Oryctolagus cuniculus: one gene and its partner. The protein of the gene in region 2 purifies or fractionates together with the protein of the main gene of each other region. This does not show direct contact. Links are inferred from orthologs where the notes say so. Each region holds a gene or a part of one and is shown on either strand. Other genes may lie near its edges.

The links.
Region 1: the proteins of FLCN (region 2) and FNIP2 purify together in Homo sapiens (affinity purification with western blotting; 5 studies listed by BioGRID and IntAct, with this or other methods). This does not show direct contact. The link is inferred for Oryctolagus cuniculus from reciprocal best matches to the Homo sapiens genes FLCN and FNIP2.

Annotation. Positions count from the first base shown.
Region 1 is NC_091439.1:138,588,512-138,597,374, forward strand, and holds the start of FNIP2 (folliculin-interacting protein 2), read right to left. Parts: upstream 5,682-8,863; 5' UTR 5,467-5,681; coding exon 5,357-5,466; intron 1-5,356.
Region 2 is NC_091448.1:66,241,450-66,250,095, forward strand, and holds the start of FLCN (folliculin), read right to left. Parts: upstream 5,427-8,646; 5' UTR 5,291-5,426; exon of another isoform or gene 4,709-5,290; intron 3,067-4,708; 5' UTR 2,874-3,066; intron 1,820-2,873; 5' UTR 1,814-1,819; coding exon 1,565-1,813; intron 155-1,564; coding exon 8-154; intron 1-7. UniProt on the Homo sapiens protein: Multi-functional protein, involved in both the cellular response to amino acid availability and in the regulation of glycolysis.

The DNA of each region.
Region 1 (8,863 bases), on a different chromosome or scaffold from region 2:
AGTGTCCAGGGTGTTGTTCGCCACTTATTCATCTTAGTGTGTAGTCCACTGTCCTTTAGATTGTCAGCTCCAGTAAGGGCGACCATGGGTGTCCGTGCATGTGGGCATCAGGTGCTATTTGACAATGATAAGTGGATTAAATTATATTTATACTAGCCCTATGGCCGATTACCTAAATTTGTTCTAAGCGCACAATGGGGATTAGCATGAAGGAACGGGGCCATTGGCTTTAGGTGCTCAGGAATGCAGGCGAAGAAGAGTGGAGCCTACTCCCAAGGGCACTTAACACATCTCAGGACCAGGCAGCTGCACTTACATCCGCTCCTCACACCCCAGGCGATACATGCATTTACTCCATTTCACTGGCCCAAAATGAGATACATGCGATAGCCCATGGCCTTTCTCAGCTCAGCCTCCTGCTGCATACATGTTGTAGGTAGAAAGGGACCCACTGATTTACCAGGAATATGAAAGAAAAAAAAAAGCAATATTTCAAACTTAAACCAGACATCTAAGTCCATGGGCATACCCTTCTTTTAAAAAGTCCTATGGAAATGCGCTAGCCTTAAATCCAAGGTAACCAACACCCCAATTCCACTTCCGACTTGAGTCACTGAACAAATCATTCTTTTGCCTTAATTCATCCTTCTGGAACAAAAGGTTATTCCAATATAAACTTATGCATCAATTAATTAAAAGTGAAAAGCATTCTGAAGATCAGCAAACAGGGACCGCACTCAAATTTCAACGCCCACAATGCAATCTTATGATTTTAAGTAGGGTTTAAACCTCACAAATACTATAATCAGAGTGTTCCTGACCACTTCTCTCCAGCATGCAAATTTCATCTTTTTTTTTTTTTAAACTTTTATTTAATGAATATAATTTTCCAAAGTACGACTTATGGATTACAATGGCTTCCCCCCCATACCGTCCCTCCCACCCACAACCCTCCCCTTTCCCACTCCCTCTCCCCTTCCATTCACATCAAGATTCATTTTCGATTATCTTAATATGCAAATTTCATCTCTCTTGATTCCTTCTCCGTCTTCCTAGCCACCTCTTCCCTCACAGGTATGAAAAGGGAGAACCTAGTGAAACACCGAAGAAGGAATCTAACTGTGATGAGCCTCTTTCTCGATAGAAAGATGTGCAGCATGAAGACAGGAGCTACTTACACTGGACGATGTATTTCCTCTCTAATTCAGTGGGGAAGACTAGGGGGGTGTGGGAACAGCGAGAACCTGGAGAAGAGACTAGGAAGTATACACGAATAATGTCAAGGGCAAGACAATTCTGAGAAGAGAAAAGTTTAAAACAACAAATGAAAGCCCATCATGGAAACACAAATATCAAAGGATTCGGCAATCCCTAAAATCTAACAAGTCAGATCTTGGGCCAGCTGTTGTGGCACAGGGGTCAACCCAGCACTTGAGACAGCTGAACGCCACGTCAGAGGACCCTTGTTGGTCCTGGCTACTTCTCTTCTCATCCAGCTTTCTGCTAATGCCCCTGGCAGGCAGCAGGTGCTGGCCAGGGGCTGGGGTTCCTACCACCCATGTGGAAGTCCCAGATGGAGTTCTCGATGATGAGGGCATCTGGAGAGTAAACCAGCAGACGGAAGATATATTCTCTCTTCCTGTCATTCTGCCTTTCAAATACTGAAATTTTTCTTAAAAGTTAATCTTACTTTTTGAGGTTTTTCCTGGTATATGCTAAATAACTGCCAAAAACATCTACCTGAATGCTCACGGGATCCTTCGTTTTCCAAATCTACAAGTCACATCCTGTATTTAAATATACTAACGAATATAAATTCACATTGGGGCTATCTGGGTTTTACCTTAAAACTTCTAGAAATCGACTTCCCTGCAAAGCAAGCTTCCTGTATGAGACACCCCTTCCCCCCAAAAGGCACGTAACAGCTCTAATTTGGCGAAACCTGGATAAAATGAAATACCAGGTTGTGATATTTTTAGGTGAAGCATGATCAAGTTTCCAGGACTTTTCCCAGGAGGGCTGCAGAGTATGCAAGAGCGAGGCCAGGTGAAAGAAAGGCAGAGGAAACACTAGTTTGGTGCTCTGTGTTGGCCTGGTAAGCACTGGTTGACTTGTCCCCAGCCTCCTGCATCTTTGCTAACATCTCCCACTTCACCCCTGTTTCCATGGTGATGCCTTTGGGACACTACGGAAGGGGGTTCTCCCCAAATGGGACACCCCGCTAAGACTCCCAGATTATCTTTAAAAAAAAAAAAAAAAAGAAGAAAAGAAAAAAAACCTATTCAAAAACTTGCCGAAAATCCTAATGAGGTCAAGAAAGAAAAAAAAACAAAAACAGCACTTGGCACAATTTTCTGTTCTCCATTCTACACCAATGAGAGGTCAGAACACTACACAGAACATGTTCCCACAAAGTGGGAATCAAGTTCCCAAATATGGCCAGGCCCTAAATATAGCCCCCCCCTCCTTTTTTATTTATTTTTTTTTTTTCATCCAAATACACCCAATTAAGCTTGCGGATGAGGAAATGGTGGTGGGCAGCCAGGCAGGGGACACAGGAAACAGTGACAGTACAACTCCAGCGTCTCTCCCAGCAAGGGCTGCGGAGTGAGGACACCGTGACACCCATGCCGCTTCCTCCAGGTGCTGCACCCCGGCTCTCAGGGCTGCGTCAAGGCAGGGAAGACATGACCCGCCCTGGGTCTCAAGTAATTCTACCACTGAGAAGGCTCAGCCAGCAGAGGCGTAGAGTTCCCCTCACACGGGAAGCACTGGGTTAGCCCAGAGGAAACGTGAGAATGCAGCCGTGGTAGGTGGAAGTCCTCACGGCCTACTTTTCAAACCCCACACCCCAGACACACACCCACGCCCGTCCTTTCTTACAGAATGAGAGAGGGGGCTGTTTTCCACCAGTGGAATTCGAGAACAAGCAGAACAGACAACACAGAACTTGCTGCAAAATGTGTTTCCAAGTTGCGCTTGAAACTTTTTAGAGGTGTATTACACAGGAGTAACAATAACCCGCTTCTGCGGGGCGTTTTGGCCAAAGAGCGTGTGAGAGCGCTGAAGAACTGCACCTTGCAAGGCGCCTTCCAGAACTTGGCCCTTCAAAGCAGGGCAGCCCCGGGATACTCAAGACTGGGTCCTGGGGGCAGACTGGGTCCTGGGGGGCAGACTGGGTCCTGGGGGCAGACCGGGGATACTCAAGACTGGGTCCTGGGGGGCAGACCGGGTCCTGGGGGGCAGACCGGGTCCCGGGGGGCAGACTGGGTCCCGGGGGGCAGACTGGGTCCCGGGGGCAGACTGGGTCCTGGGGGCAGACCGGGGATACTCAAGACTGGGTCCTGGGGGGAAGACTGGGTCCCGGGGGGCAGACCGGGTCCTGGGGGCAGACTGGGTCCTGGGGGCAGACCGGGTCCTGGGGGGCAGACTGGGTCCCGGGGGGCAGACTGGGTCCCGGGGGGCAGACCGGGGATACTCAAGACTGGGTCCTGGGGGCAGACCGGGGATACTCAAGACTGGGTCCTGGGGGGCAGACCGGGTCCTGGGGGCAGACTGGGTCCTGGGGGGCAGACTGGGTCCTGGGGGGAAGACTGGGTCCCGGGGGACAGACCGGGTCCTGGGGGCAGACCGGGTCCTGGGGGGCAGACTGGGTCCTGGGGACAGACCGGGTCCTGGGGGCAGACTGGGTCCTGGGGGCAGACCGGGGATACTCAAGACTGGGTCCTGGGGGCAGACCGGGTCCTGGGGGCAGACCGGGTCCTGGGGGGCACACCGGGTCCTGGGGGGCACACCGGGTCCTGGGGGGCAGACTGGGTCCTGGGGGGCAGACTGGGTCCCGGGGGGCAGACTGGGTCCCGGGGACAGACCGGGTCCTGGGGGGCAGACCGGGTCCTGGGGGGCAGACCGGGTCCTGGGGGCAGACTGGGTCCTGGGGGGCAGACTGGGTCCTGGGGGCAGACTGGGTCCCGGGGGGCAGACTGGGTCCCGGGGGGCAGACTGGGTCCTGGGGACAGACCGGGTCCTGGGGGGCAGACCGGGTCCTGGGGGGCAGACCGGGTCCTGGGGGGCAGACTGGGTCCTGGGGGGCAGACTGGGTCCCGGGGGGCAGACTGGGTCCCGGGGGGCAGACTGGGTCCTGGGGACAGACCGGGTCCTGGGGGGCAGACCGGGTCCTGGGGGGCAGACCGGGTCCTGGGGGGCAGACCGGGTCCTGGGGGCAGACCGGGTCCTGGGGGCAGACTGGGTCCTGGGGGGCAGACTGGGTCCTGGGGGGCAGACCGGGTCCTGGGGGCAGACCGGGGATACTCAAGACTGGATCCTGGGGGCAGACCGGGTCCTGGGGGCAGACTGGGTCCTGGGGGCAGACTGGGTCCCGGGGGGCAGACTGGGTCCTGGGGACAGACCGGGTCCTGGGGGGCAGACCGGGTCCTGGGGGGCAGACCGGGTCCTGGGGGCAGACTGGGTCCTGGGGGGCAGACTGGGTCCTGGGGGCAGACTGGGTCCCGGGGGACAGACCGGGTCCTGGGGGCAGACCGGGTCCTGGGGGCAGACTGGGTCCTGGGGGGCAGACTGGGTCCTGGGGGCAGACTGGGTCCTGGGGGGCAGACTGGGTCCCGGGGGACAGACCGGGTCCTGGGGGCAGACTGGGTCCCGGGGGGCAGACCGGGTCCCGGGGACAGACCGGGTCCTGGGGGGCACACCGCGTCCTGGGGGGCACACCGCGTCCTGGGGGGCAGACCGGGTCCTGGGGGGCAGACCGGGTCCTGGGGGCAGACTGGGTCCTGGTCCGCGGACAGCTGCGGTTCTCGGCGCCTCCGCTTTCTCACCTGCGAAATGGAACTCCAGGGAGAGACCCCGACGCCACGCACTCCCAGCGGCCCAGGCTGCACGCGTGCCGGCTGTTCTTAGCCACAGGTGCGCGCCGGGAACGCCGGATCGACTCCGCTCTCCCGAGACCCCAGACGGCCCCTCGCACACATGGCGCGGCGCGCGCCCTCGGAACGACGCGGAAACCGCACACTTCCATTCATCCGTCAGGCAGCGCCAGCAGGGACCGGAGGGGGCCGGGGGCCTCCCTTCGCCGCGGCTGCTCCGGCACAACTTCCCAACACGCACACAATGGGCCGCGGCCGCCCTCGGCGATGACAGCTCGCCGCGCCGCAGGGCCCGGGCGCCTCGGCCCACGCGCGGCCAAGCGCAGCGCACGCCCCGGCACGCAAGGAGCCCACGGGAACTCCCCGAAACCCGGGGCACCCGGAGTTGTGCAGAGGCGGAGGGGGCCGCCCCGGGGCCACGCGCGTCCACGGCGGCCCCCCGCCAGCCCCGAAGCCCGCGCCGGGCCCGCGCCCCTCACCTGAAGGCGGGTCCTTCCTTGGGCGCCCGGCCCTGGGCGCACGCCGCCGCGGAGCCGCTGCCGCCGCTGCCCCTTTTGTTGAAGAGCTTCTGGAGCAGGGTCGGGGCCATGATGCGGCGGCGGCTCCGGCCCCGCGCTCGGCGGGCGGCGGCGGCTCAGCGCGCAGCCCGGGGCGGCGGCGGCGGCGGCGGCGGGGTCATCGCGGGGGCGGCGAGCCTGGCGGGAGCGCGGGGCGCCGGGCTGAGGAACTCTGCTGCGCGCCGGTCCTGTGACGGAGCCGGCCCCCGCCGCCGCCGCCGCCGCCGCCGCCTCGCGCGCTGACAGTTATCTCCTGCGGGAGGAGCCCGCAGCCACACGGCGGCGCGGGAGGAGCGCGCTGCCCCGGCGGCGGCCATTGGCCCGCGCCCGCGCCCGCCCCCGGGCGCACGTAACCCGGCGGGAGGCGCAGCCGGCTGGGGCGCGCGGGCGGCGGGGCGGGCGCGGGCGCGGCGCTTAAAGGGCCCGGTGGGCGCGGGGCGCGGGGCGCGGGGCGCGGGGCGCGGGGCGCGGGGCGCGGGGCGCGGGGCGCGGGGCGCGGGGCGCGGGGCGCGGGGCGCGGGGCGCGGGGCGCGCCTCGGCTCCTGCGAGAAAGCCGCCGGCCGATCTTTGTTCGTGCGAGACAAAGCAAAGCCCCCGAACTTGATCCTGGCTTTGTGCGGGCGCAGAAGCTCGTTAGTGCCAGGCGTGGGCAGGCGTGGGCAGGCGGGGAGGGCGTCTCGCGCGGGGGTGCGTTTTCCCAGGGCTGTGAGGGGAAGCGCGCAGCGCCCGAGTCGTTGGCACGTTTCTTGCATAGCCAGGTTGGGTTTCTTCAGGCTTTTTTTTTTTTTTTTTTTTAAACTGTTGGTTTGGTTTGTTTTGTTTTGTTTAAATTCTTAGTTCTGTTTGGCATCTTGGGCCACCATATTCTTGTATAACCACGTTTACAGAAAAAGTTGCGTGTGAAAGGTTGAGCCCTTAAAAAAAAAAATAAAAGCTAGCACTCACTACATACACACTTAGAAACTTACAACCGGCCTGTGACCAGAGGGCGCTTTCCTAACCCTATTCCGTGACCACGCACACGGATGTTTTACCTTTATCCACAGCAGGTATTACTTGGCTTGGGGAAGGTGGAGTTTTTGTACGTGGGTTAAGCCTTCGTGTGAGGAGACTCTAAAATGCGCTGTAGGACTGAAGTCTTAATCTGTGTTTTATGGCGCTGGGCTTAGTGGGTAACAGCTGTGCTGGTAAGACGTCAGCCGGCCGCTCCTCTCTGGGCGGTGAAGGGTGACTCACCTGTGCGCCTAGGTTTCTTCGAAATAACTCTCCGGCACTCCGGAAGGCCAGTGTGTCTCCACAAAGTTCTCAGGAATACCTACTTTGGACTTAATTTCCCTTATCATTTTTTAAGTTGTCTAAGTGATTTATGTATTTTATTTGAGAAGTGGAGGGACGGACAAAGGTCTCCCATCCACCGTTCACTGCCCCAAATACCTGCAGGGGCTGGGCCGGGCGGAAGGCAGGAGCTGGAGCTGGATGGGGATCTGGCCCACAGGGGCAGGGACTTGGTGCCTCTCGGGGTTTGGTTAGCATGAAGCTGCACCGCGGAGCAGAGCCAGGACTCAGAGCCGGGCACTCTGATGAGGGGTGCGGGCGTCCTCACCGCACACCTGCCCCTGTCATTTGTTATTGTGTGGTTTTCAGGTCTTGGTTGGAGATCAAGCTGTAAGCAATGAAACTTCACAAAGGTTGGGGAAAGACAGCAGAAACTGAAATGCAGGCATTTTTTTCTTCTAGTTTTTTACTGTTAGATTGGTGGGTTAGGTGTTCATGCTGGTGAGCAGTTACCCCTTTGCACAGTTTAGAGGACACAGATCTTGATTTGCAACTCTGCTTTCTCTGTTTCCTGAGAATTTTTTTTTTTTTTTTTTTTTTTTTTTTTTGACAGGCAGAGTGGACAGTGAGAGAGAGAGACAGAGAGAAAGGTCTTCCTTTGCCGTTGGTTCACCCTCCAAAGGCCGCCGCGGCCGGCACGCTGCAGCCAGCGCACCGCGCTGATCCGATGGCGGGAGCCAGGAGCCAGGTGCTTTTCCTGGTCTCCCATGGGGTGCAGGGCCCAAGCACCTGGGCCATCCTCCACTGCCTTCCCGGGCCACAGCAGAGAGCTGGCCTGGAAGAGGGGCAACAGGGACAGAATCTGGTGCCCCGACCGGGACTAGAACCCGGTGTGCCGGCACCGCTAGGCGGAGGATTAGCCTAGTGAGCCGCGGCGCCGGCCTATTCCTGAGAATCTTTATTGCATAGGGCTACCAATATTCCTAAGTAGCTTATATATTAGGTATTGGCCTCACCTGTTGTGGCTCATTAAGACATGGCTCCAGGTCTGTGATGGCTGGCAACACATCACCTTTCCTACCCCATCCTTGGTCAGAAAATGTCCCTTATTCAGTCTATGAGCCTAGCAGATTTTCTAACTACTTATTGAAAGGAATCAACATGGTGTCTCTTCTTCCTCACCTACAAAGACTTTCATGCCGAGCCCAGTTCAAGTGTACGAGATCACCCAAAAGAGGGAATTCGAAAAATTCTAGTTCGGTGTGGCTGTTTGGACACGTGACTATAACGTCATATCACAAGATCTAGGTTCAAGGCCTGGCTGCCAATGCCAGCGTCCTACTGATGCAGACTGCAAGGCAGCAGGTGACAGCTGAAGTAGTTGGGTCCCTGCGACCCACAGGAGAGGCCTGGATTGGGTTCCGAACCCAGCTTTGGCCTGGACCAGTCAGGCTATTGCAGGAACTTGGGGACTCTCTCTCTCTCACTCCCTTCTCCCCCCATCTCTCTCTGCCTCTCAGATAATTTTGTACAAAAGAGCCCAGCCATCATCTTCAGTGTTGGTCTAGACTGAGCAACTCTAAAGAGAGACTGTGCCTTTAAAACTATTAGATTACTGCATAAGCCGGGGGAGAAACAAGGAACCACAGTGGTTCCCCTCTCTCCTCTTTCTTCCTGTGCTCCCTCTCAGCATCGTTTTCGTCCTCAGCCTGGTTTTGGCCATACATCCTGCTTTGGATTTTTCAAGTGCACAGAAATCCTAGCCAACAGAATTCTGGGAAGCTGCTCCGAACACTTCCCCCAAGTCTTACGGTTTCTTTTCTTGGCTATTCCAGGCATCTACAGGAGCCCAGTCTTCTGCCTGTCATCCACTGGTCAAGGTCCCTGTCTCCAGCACTGCTTTAATTCGTTCACCTCATCACTCCGTCTTAGAACATATACCAGCCGGCTGCTCCTGTGTGCAGCTGCCCAGAGAAGAGGAATTAAACAATATTCTGAGTTGTTTCCCTAAGGAGGGAAAAGAGGAGTTAGAAGAGGGCTAACTTATTTATGCCAGTCCATTCTGACTTCTGGTGACAGTTCTTGTCTCTTAATTAGTATTTGTTCTGGGCCGGCACTGTAGTGTAGTGGGTAAAGCTGCAGCCTGCAGAGCCA
Region 2 (8,646 bases):
GGCTCACCTCACAGCTCAGGCTGCGGACGCAGGCCTGGCGGACGATGCTGAAGAGCTGGGGGTGGTTGGGGTGCTGGTGACTGACGTACTTGATGGAAGTCTCCTTGTCGTGGCTGATGTAGCCCGGGTGGCCCGCGGCCAGAGAGCGGCAGCCCTGCCCGGGGCCGCAGGAGAAGACCTGTTAGTTGCAGGGCAGCCGACAAACTCTCAAGCCCACTCCAAGCCAAGCTGCATTTAGGAGGCTCTAATTTTAGACCTGGCGCTGTGGCGTAGCAGGCTAAGTCTTCGCCTGCGGCGCCGGCATCCCACATGGGTGCCAGTTCGTGTCCCGGCTGCTCCTCTTCCAGGCCAGCTCTCTGCTATGGCCTGGGAAAGCAGTAGAAGATGGCCCAAGTGCTTGGGCCCCTGCACCCACATGGGAGACCCAGAAGCTCCTGGCTCTGGATCAGCTCAGCCCCAGCCGTTCCGGCCACCTGGGGAGTGAACTAGGGGATGCAAGACCTTTCTCTCCGTAGCTCCGCCTCTCAGATAAATAAACCCGAAAGAAAACTCTATTTTTGCATAGGAATAAGTGGCTCCTAGATTAGCACTCATCTGAGGAGTTAAAGGTTTCCAGGACAGGAAAAGCAGGACCAAGAGGTCCCCAAGGTGGTCAGAGGTCGGTGGGAACAGGCATTTATTTATGTGAGCGGCAGGTTCTGTGAACAGGTCCGTCGCTCTATCTAAGCTGCAACCCTGTGAGAAACCCCATTCCACAGAAGACAAAGCTGAGGCTGGGGTGGACTGTGGCTGGCCTGAGGGCACGGGGCTGTGCTGCTCTCGGGAGCCCTGTCCACAGCCACTGAGCTTCTGTCCTTGGTCCTGAACACACTCGGCCCAGCCACAGGCAGGGGCCCCGCACGGACAGGGTTGGAGGCAGAGGCTTGGGAACAGCCTGCCACACTGCCTGCTGCAGGAGTGGACCGTGCAGCCCGCGGAGGCCACCAGCAGCCTGAGGCATCCAGGCCCCCAGGGCCGTGCACAGCAGGGCCCCGAGGCAAGGCCCTGCCCAAGAGGTGCAGGCCTCCTCCAAGGTGAACCCCAACCCTGGCTCCAGGCCTCTCCGGAAGCTGGCTGAGCCCCCTAGGGCCCCCACTGCCAGTGTCTGAGGGCTCCCCTCTCCCCAGGACCCCTCATGGGCATTAGCAGCAATAGATGAGGCTCTGATACAGCGCCTGCCTCTCAGAAAAACCAACAGAACTCAGCCTGTTCCTAAAGCAGGGCCAGGTCCAATGCCCACGTCCAGCGCCCAGCGCCCACCTCAGGGCCTCCAGCAGAGCCTTGATCTGCCGGGGTGCTGAGGCCCACTCCCCCAGGCTCACAGCCGGGGCATGGTGAGCACGTGCGCCAGGGGACGCAGGGCTGTGGCTGGGCCGTGTGGGTGCCGACACTCAGCACAGAGCCGGCTAGGAAAGCTACGGCAGCACTTGGGGGCACAGAGACGCACATGCCTTCGGGGTGCCACTTGAGAGGAGGCCTGCTGGGGGACCGCGCCTCCCCGAGACCCTGAACGGAGCGCACTTGCCTCACACATGTCCGACTTCCTGGGCCCCGCGCTGCCCGGCTCGGCGCCGGCCCCCTCCGCGGGGCTGTGGGCGCGGCCGCGGCCGCTCATCTGGATGCCGCCTTCCTCCTCCTCGGCCTGCTCGCCCTGGCCGGGGCTGTCCCCGCTCCCGGCGCCCTGGGGAAGCGGGGCGTGCAGCACCTCCGTGCAGAAGAGTGTGCGGGGGCCGTGCAGCTCGCAGAAGTGACACAGGGCGACAATGGCGTTCATGGTGCCCTGGGGAGCAGGGGACACCGTGAGCAGAAGGCACCCCACGGAACCTCCCCGGCGCCTCTAGGACTTCCCGCTTCACCACTGGGGCAGCACCCGCTTTGCACCCAGCGCCACGTCAGGGGCAGCACAGACAACGGAAGCCAGATCCCATCGGGCCCAGAGGCAGCCACGAGAGGGGGCGTGGGGGTGAATGGCCGCACCAAAGGCCCTCCGGGCAGAACTGAGACAGGGCCCCGGGGCAGACAGCACAGGAGAAGGACAGCTACCCTTGCAGGGACCCGCAAACTCCAGGGCGACTGAGAGGTCCATAAAGTGGACTTCAAGTGGACCCCTGCCCAGCACGCACCTGCTGAGCGCCTCCCAGTCTGGACGAGGAAGCAGCCCTCCCCGGGGAGGGGCACGGGAACCTGCCCAGTCCAGTGCTCCGAGGGGCCAGTGGGGCTGGCAGAGGCCCCCAGAGGAGGGGTCTTGAAGCCCCAGGATGCAGACCCCTGGGGCCTCGGAGAGTGAGGCTCCAACATGACACAGGAGACCTGGACGACAGCGGAAGAGGCCGTGCAGGCTGGCTCACAGCATGGCAAGCCCGGTGACAGGAGCCCGTCACAAAAGGACAAGCAATGCCCAATTGACACGAGACTGTACGGGGGACTTTACCTCTGGAAGGGAAGGATAAAGTTTCCTTTGGTGCAAAAAGAACTTTGAAATTCACACATCCAAGTTGGGGGTGGGGGTGGGGCTCGGGCTCCGAGTGGTGGGATCCACAGGGACGGAAGGGGCAATGGTGCCAGGGGGTTGGGCAGTTCATGTTTAAGCCCGGCATGTGGACAGCACTGGAGCCAGCCTGTGCTGGCGGTTCCATCACTCAGCAACACACAGCTGCGTGCTGACAATAGTCCACTTTATGTGCATTTTAGCACAATTTGGACAGAAAAAAAAAAAAAAAAACAGTGGGCAGGGATCCCCTGCAAAGTAACAGGGAGGTCACTGGTGCCCTAGCAGAGGTCAAGGTCAGAGAAACAGAGCCCACACCCGTGCCTGCCCACCAATGGCAACCCACCTGGCCGTCCGCGGACCCGGACGCAGCAGGGGCTGGCAATGGCAGAGGCAAAACGGAAGAGAAGCGGGCGGGAGTGAGCGTGGAGAGCGGAGGCTCCGGCCCCTGGCCCGAGGTGTTCCCAGAGGCAGGTGACGCAAGTGCAGACGGCCCGAGGCTCAGCCGGGACGCCTGGAGCAGGCCGTGGCCACACCGACTGCAGATGAGAGGGCAGGGCTGGGGAGAAGGTCCCAGGCACCCGCGGCCCTGCCCCTGCCCTGTACCCGGTCCGAGGCCTCCCCAGCCAGCCCACCCGGGACAGCTGCCCTGCCCCCGCCCTGCCTCATTTCTGTCTCCTAACAGGTTGTGTGTACTTCCCCTTTACAAAGACCAGATTTCCTGGGGCCGGCGCTGTGGCACAGAGGTTAAGCGTCTGCCGGCAGTGCCAGCATCCCGTATCGGTGCCACTTCGAGTCCAGGCTGCTCCACTTCCAATGCAGCTCCCTGCTAACGCTCCTGGGAATGGTCCAAGTGCTTGGGCTCCTGCACCCACGTGGGAGACCCAGAAGAAGCTCCTGGCCCCTGGCTTCAGCCTGGCCCAGCCCCAGCTGTTGCAGCCATTTGGGGAGCGAACCATTGGATGGAAGATTGATTGATCTCTCTCTCTCTCCCCCCCATATCTCTGCCTTTCAAATCTTAAAAAATAAAAATAAAATTTCCAGCAGGTAGAGACGTTGTCCCCTGGTGTCTACAGCGGTTCCCGACACACAGGGCACCCAAAGAGCACGTGACGGATAAATAAACAGGTTTAGGGGCTGCCCACGGGGAGGTGACAGCCGTCAGCACAGGAAGTAGATGGAGGTGCCCACCGCAGGGACAGTCCAGTGGCACAGGAGCCGATGGACTGAGTTTAAAGAAAGAACCCAGGGGCTCCATGACAGTGAGGTCAAGAACATTCGTCAAGGGCTTTGAGACCCACAGCGGACGAGGAGACATGGGAGGTGACCATGGACCAGACCGGGACCAGAACCAGAACTGGAACCAGGAGGTCAAGGCAGGGCTAATAGGATGGAAAACAAAAGCAGACACAGATGCCCTGCCCCAGAGCCTGGAAAGGGGGCCACGCCTTCCTTGGAGGAAAAAAAAAAAAAGGCTCCTTCCAGCCACACACCCAGACCAAGGCAGCCCTCTGCCCCACCCCACGCACACCTGCTCCAGCCTGCCTAGGCCGGAGCGGGCACCAGAGACGTTGTCACCCAACGTATTCCAGGCCCAGGAAAAAAAAAAAATCCAGACCCAATTCAAAGAGCACCGGTTTGAGTCCCGGCTGCTCCACTTCCGATCCAGCTCTCTGCTCTGGCCTGGGAAAGCAGTGGAAGATGAACCAAGCGCTTGGGCCCCTGCACCCACGTGGAAGACCCAGAAAAGCTCCTGGCTTCGGATCAGCCCAGCTCCAGCCATTTCAGCCATTTGGGGAGTGAACCAGCGGATGACCAGCGGAGACCTCTCTCTGTCTCTCTCTCCTTCTCTGTGTAACTCCGACTTTCAAATAAAGCTCTCTTCCACTGCCTTCCTCTAGCTCCACTCCAGCCTCCCCTGCCCAGTGAGCTCTACACCCTACAAGCAGGTGTCCCGACTCCTCAGCCTGGCCGGGACCGCCACACCACACTCTCCCCCCCTGCCACCGCCCCCCCCCCCCAGCTCCCTAGGATCCCAGAGGCCCACAGGGGGTTGAAGGAGCCCCCGCAGATCCAGCAGGGGCCAGGTGACCCGCAGTGAGCATGCAGCAGCCCCTAACCGGTCTCCCTCGGGGCTTCCTTCCGGCTGGAACCCGCGGGCACCACTGCTGCTGCCCTCACCTAGGTTGTCGCGGACAGCAGACACAAGGTCACGTGCCAGGGTTACTCAAGGACGCGATGACAACAGTGATAAGCCAGTGCCACCGGCTGCCGCCTTTCTCTGCAGTGACAAAGGTCCCCCCCACCAGCCTGGCTGGACACCGGGGTGGCGCCGGGTGTCCACGGCACGCTGCTTCTCACCCCCTGCTGACCTCGCTGGACCAAGCATTCTCGGCCACGTCCACCAACCCTAGGAAGAACTGCGGTCTTCCAGGGCAAACCCGGGCCGGCGCTGGAGCAGCGGGCACCGGGAGAGAGGCAGGGCAACGTCAAATCGGAACCAAACAACGGCCCCGGCTCCTCCTCCTCCCGCGAGGAGCTAGGATGTGGCCTCACGCTCCCTCCACATCGCCAGCTCTCCGCAACGCCCCAAGCCACTCGCCCACCGCTGCCCGCCCCACACTCGGCCGGGCCCTCGCCGTCCCCGCCGGACAGGTCAAGGTGAGGCCGGAGCCGGCCCTAAGGGACAGGTGGTCGCGGCCGCATTGCACGGCGGGCCCGACCCCGAGGGGGAGACGCCCAGACCCGGGCGGCCACACTCACCCGCGGTCCCCTCAGTCCAGGCTGCCCCGGCGCCAAGCCAGAGGCGCGTGACTGGGTCGGACCGTACCATCCGCCCATGCCCGCCGCGGGGGCGCCCGGATTGCCCGAGCGCACCCCGCACCGCGAGGCGAGCGAGGCCCCACCAGGTCCTTGGGTCTGGGAACGAAGGCCCGCGCCCCCGTAACTCCGAAGTCTAGTGGCAGCGGGAATTTCCCAACCCGACACCTTCCTCTTCCACGCCGCTGCGCCGCTCCCCCTCTCAGAGAAGTACAGAATGGTTTAAACCGTACCCGCAAGCGCTGCTGGACAAAACCATTTCAAACGTGTGGGGGTGCTTAAAATGTAAAAACCAACCAAACAAAAAGATTTGAGGGGGAAATAGAGCCAATCCTAGACTTTCTGCCCACAAAAGACAGAAAAATAAAGACGAGAACGTAAAAACCTGCTGTAACTCCTTTTAGTTTCACCGCCGGTTTTCACTAAATAGCTGATAAACCCCATCCTCGCGAAGAGGGTGGAAGGTGCGGCGGCCGTCAGGCAACAGGGGCGGTGCTCGGCTTGGGCGGCTGGGCGCCGGTGCGCATGCGCGGGACTCGGTTCCCTGCGCGGAACCGTTGGAGCCACACTTGGAAATTGTTTGTTTTGACCGAATATCAGTTATTCCATAATGTAGTCTGTAAAACTCGTGGCGCCTCCGGTGCTCCTCCGGGCTTGAGGGGGTGACGGAGCCCGGGCGGAGGTCCCGGGGTCGGGGGCGGCCGCCACCCACGTTCCCCTGATCCCGGTCAGCCCCGCCGCTGCGCTTAGCGAGCCGAATCGAGGGTAGAGCGGGGCCCGCCGAAGCGCAGCCGTGCCAGGAATTCCGCTTTTCCTCGGCTGTCAGCCACGCAGGAGCTCGCTGGATGCTTGGAGAGTGCAGGAGACCCTGGAGGGGCGGGCGTTTGGAGCCGTGGTTAGGGCGCTGCCCGGGTTCCGCTCGGGGAGGGTCCCTGCTCAACGTGGGAGACCCACGCAGGGTGCGCGGCTCCTGGCCCAGCCCCAGCTGCTGCGACCATCCAGATGGCGAACCTGCGGATGGAAGCTCTCCCTGTCTCTCTCTGCTGTTCCAAGGAATAAAGGTGACAGTTCAGGGTTAAAAATTCCATTCTTTAGGGTCTAGCGGGTAAAGCCACCGCCTGCAGTGCGGCTGTCCCATAGGGGTACCGGCTGCTCCACTTCTGATCTGGCTCCCTAATATGCCCGGGAAGGCGGCAGCAGGTGGCCCAGGTGCCCGGGCCCCTGCGCCCAGGTGGGAGCCCTGGAGGAAGCTCCTGGCTCGTGCCTGACCCAGCCCCAACTGTTGCCGCTAAGCTATTTGGGTCGTGAACCAGCGGAGGGAAGATTCCGTCTGTCCTCGTTCTAACGCTGCCTTTGATACTTGAATAAATCTCAAATCTTTTTAATTACTCTACATTCACTAATTGCACAGTCTTGTTTCCATCAGGTTTTTGGTCTCTCAAACTCTGGGAATGTTTTTTCCTGGTTTTTCTCTTACCAAAAGGTGTTACTGAAACGAACACTCATTGGTGACGTTTTAAGCTTAAAGACAATTTTTTCCCCATCTTGGAACTTTAATTCCAGGAATTCCCTTTCTCAGTCCCGGTCCAGATTCCACTATTTCCATGCCATCGGCTGATGAGGCTCCAATGAGGGGAAGCCATTCAGTCACAGTAGCCTGATTTGGGCCATTAGTATCTTTCCCAACTCCCCAGGCTTTAGCTGCCATCTTCCCCCCAACACACACACGATCTAGTTCATGTATTTGAAAGGCAAAGGTAGAGTGAGAGAATCTACAGGTTCACTCCCCAGAGAGCCGTGGCTGGGCCTGGCTGAAGTCAGGAGCCTGGAACTCCATCCAGGTCTCCCCCATGGGTGGCAGGGATCCAGGCATTTGGGGCCAAGTTCTGCCGCTTTTCTTCCCCGGGCACGTTAGCAGGGAGCTGGTTCGGAAGCGGAGCAGCTGTGTCAGGAGCCAGATGCCGGTATCCCAATGGCTGCCTACCCTTTAGAGATGCTTACTCAAATTACATGAATCTGTAAGAACTTAACAGCTGGGGCCGGTGCTGCGCCATAGCAGGTAAAGCCATCACCTGCAGTGCTGGCATCCCATATGGGCACCAGTTCAAGTCCTGGTCGCTCCACTTCTGATCCAGCTCTCTGCTGTGGCCTGGGAAAGCAGAAGATGGCCCAAGTGCTTGGGCCCCTGTACCCGGGTGGGAGACCCGGAAGAAGCTTCTGGCTCCTGGCTTCAAATTGGAGCAGCTGTAGCTGTTACGGCCAATTGGGGAATGAACCAGCAGATAGACTTTCTCTCTCTCTCTCTGCCTCTCCTTCTCTGTGTAACTCTTTCAAATAAATAAACCTTAAAAAAAAAAAAGTTTCAGTTTTAAGAGAGGTCGCAGAAGGATTTCTTTTTATGGTTTATTTATTTAAAAGGCAGAATTACAGAGAGAAGGACAGAGGACAGAGATCTTCCATCTCCTGGTTCACTCCCCAGAATGGCTGCCAATGATCACCAGCTGAGGACTTGGCTGGGCCAAAGCCAGGAGCCAGGAGCTTCCTCCGGGTCTCCCACACGGGTGCAGGGGCCCAAGGACTTGGGCCATCTTCCACTGTTTTCCCAGGCCATAGCAGAGAGCTGGGTCGGAAGTGGAGCAGCCAGGACTAGAACCGGCGCCCATATGGGTTGCCAGTGCTGCAGTGCGCCACGCCGGCCGTGGGATTTTGTCTGTTTACCATCACTGAGTCATCCATCTGCCTAAAAAAAGACAGCTGTTCCCAAAGCCAGAATTACCCGGTCACATTTCCTCTGGGCACTTTGCCAACGGCTCAGGCAAGTTAACATCCTCTGCCACATGGTATCCTGTATCCTGACACTCAGAACCAACCAGCCCGCTCGCTCATCTCTGAAGAGCAAGTTAACGGGAGAGAACCGGAACCCAACTTGGCACAGGAGGGGCTCCCCGGCGAGCGCTAGAAACGCTGGACCACAGGCAGGGCTCTCTACTTAAGCCGCTTGTGTCGTCGGGGCCGGGGGTCCCTGGCTGGGTTTATCCCAGTTCTTGCCTCGGCGCGAGAGAATTCAGAGGCCCAGCCCTCGCTGCGGGAAGCCTCTCTGGAGCGATCCTGCACACTGAGTGCGAGGTGGCCTCCCCCACGAGGAAGGAATGGCGTGAGTCTCGGCGGGAGGGGACGTGGCGCAGGCCCGTGGGGGCGCAGGTGCCAGGGACGCGAGCAGCGGGGATTCGGGAGCCGGATGCTCTGAGAGTTCAGAGGGGAGGGGAGGGGAGGCTCGCGCACCGGCTCTGGGTGCAACC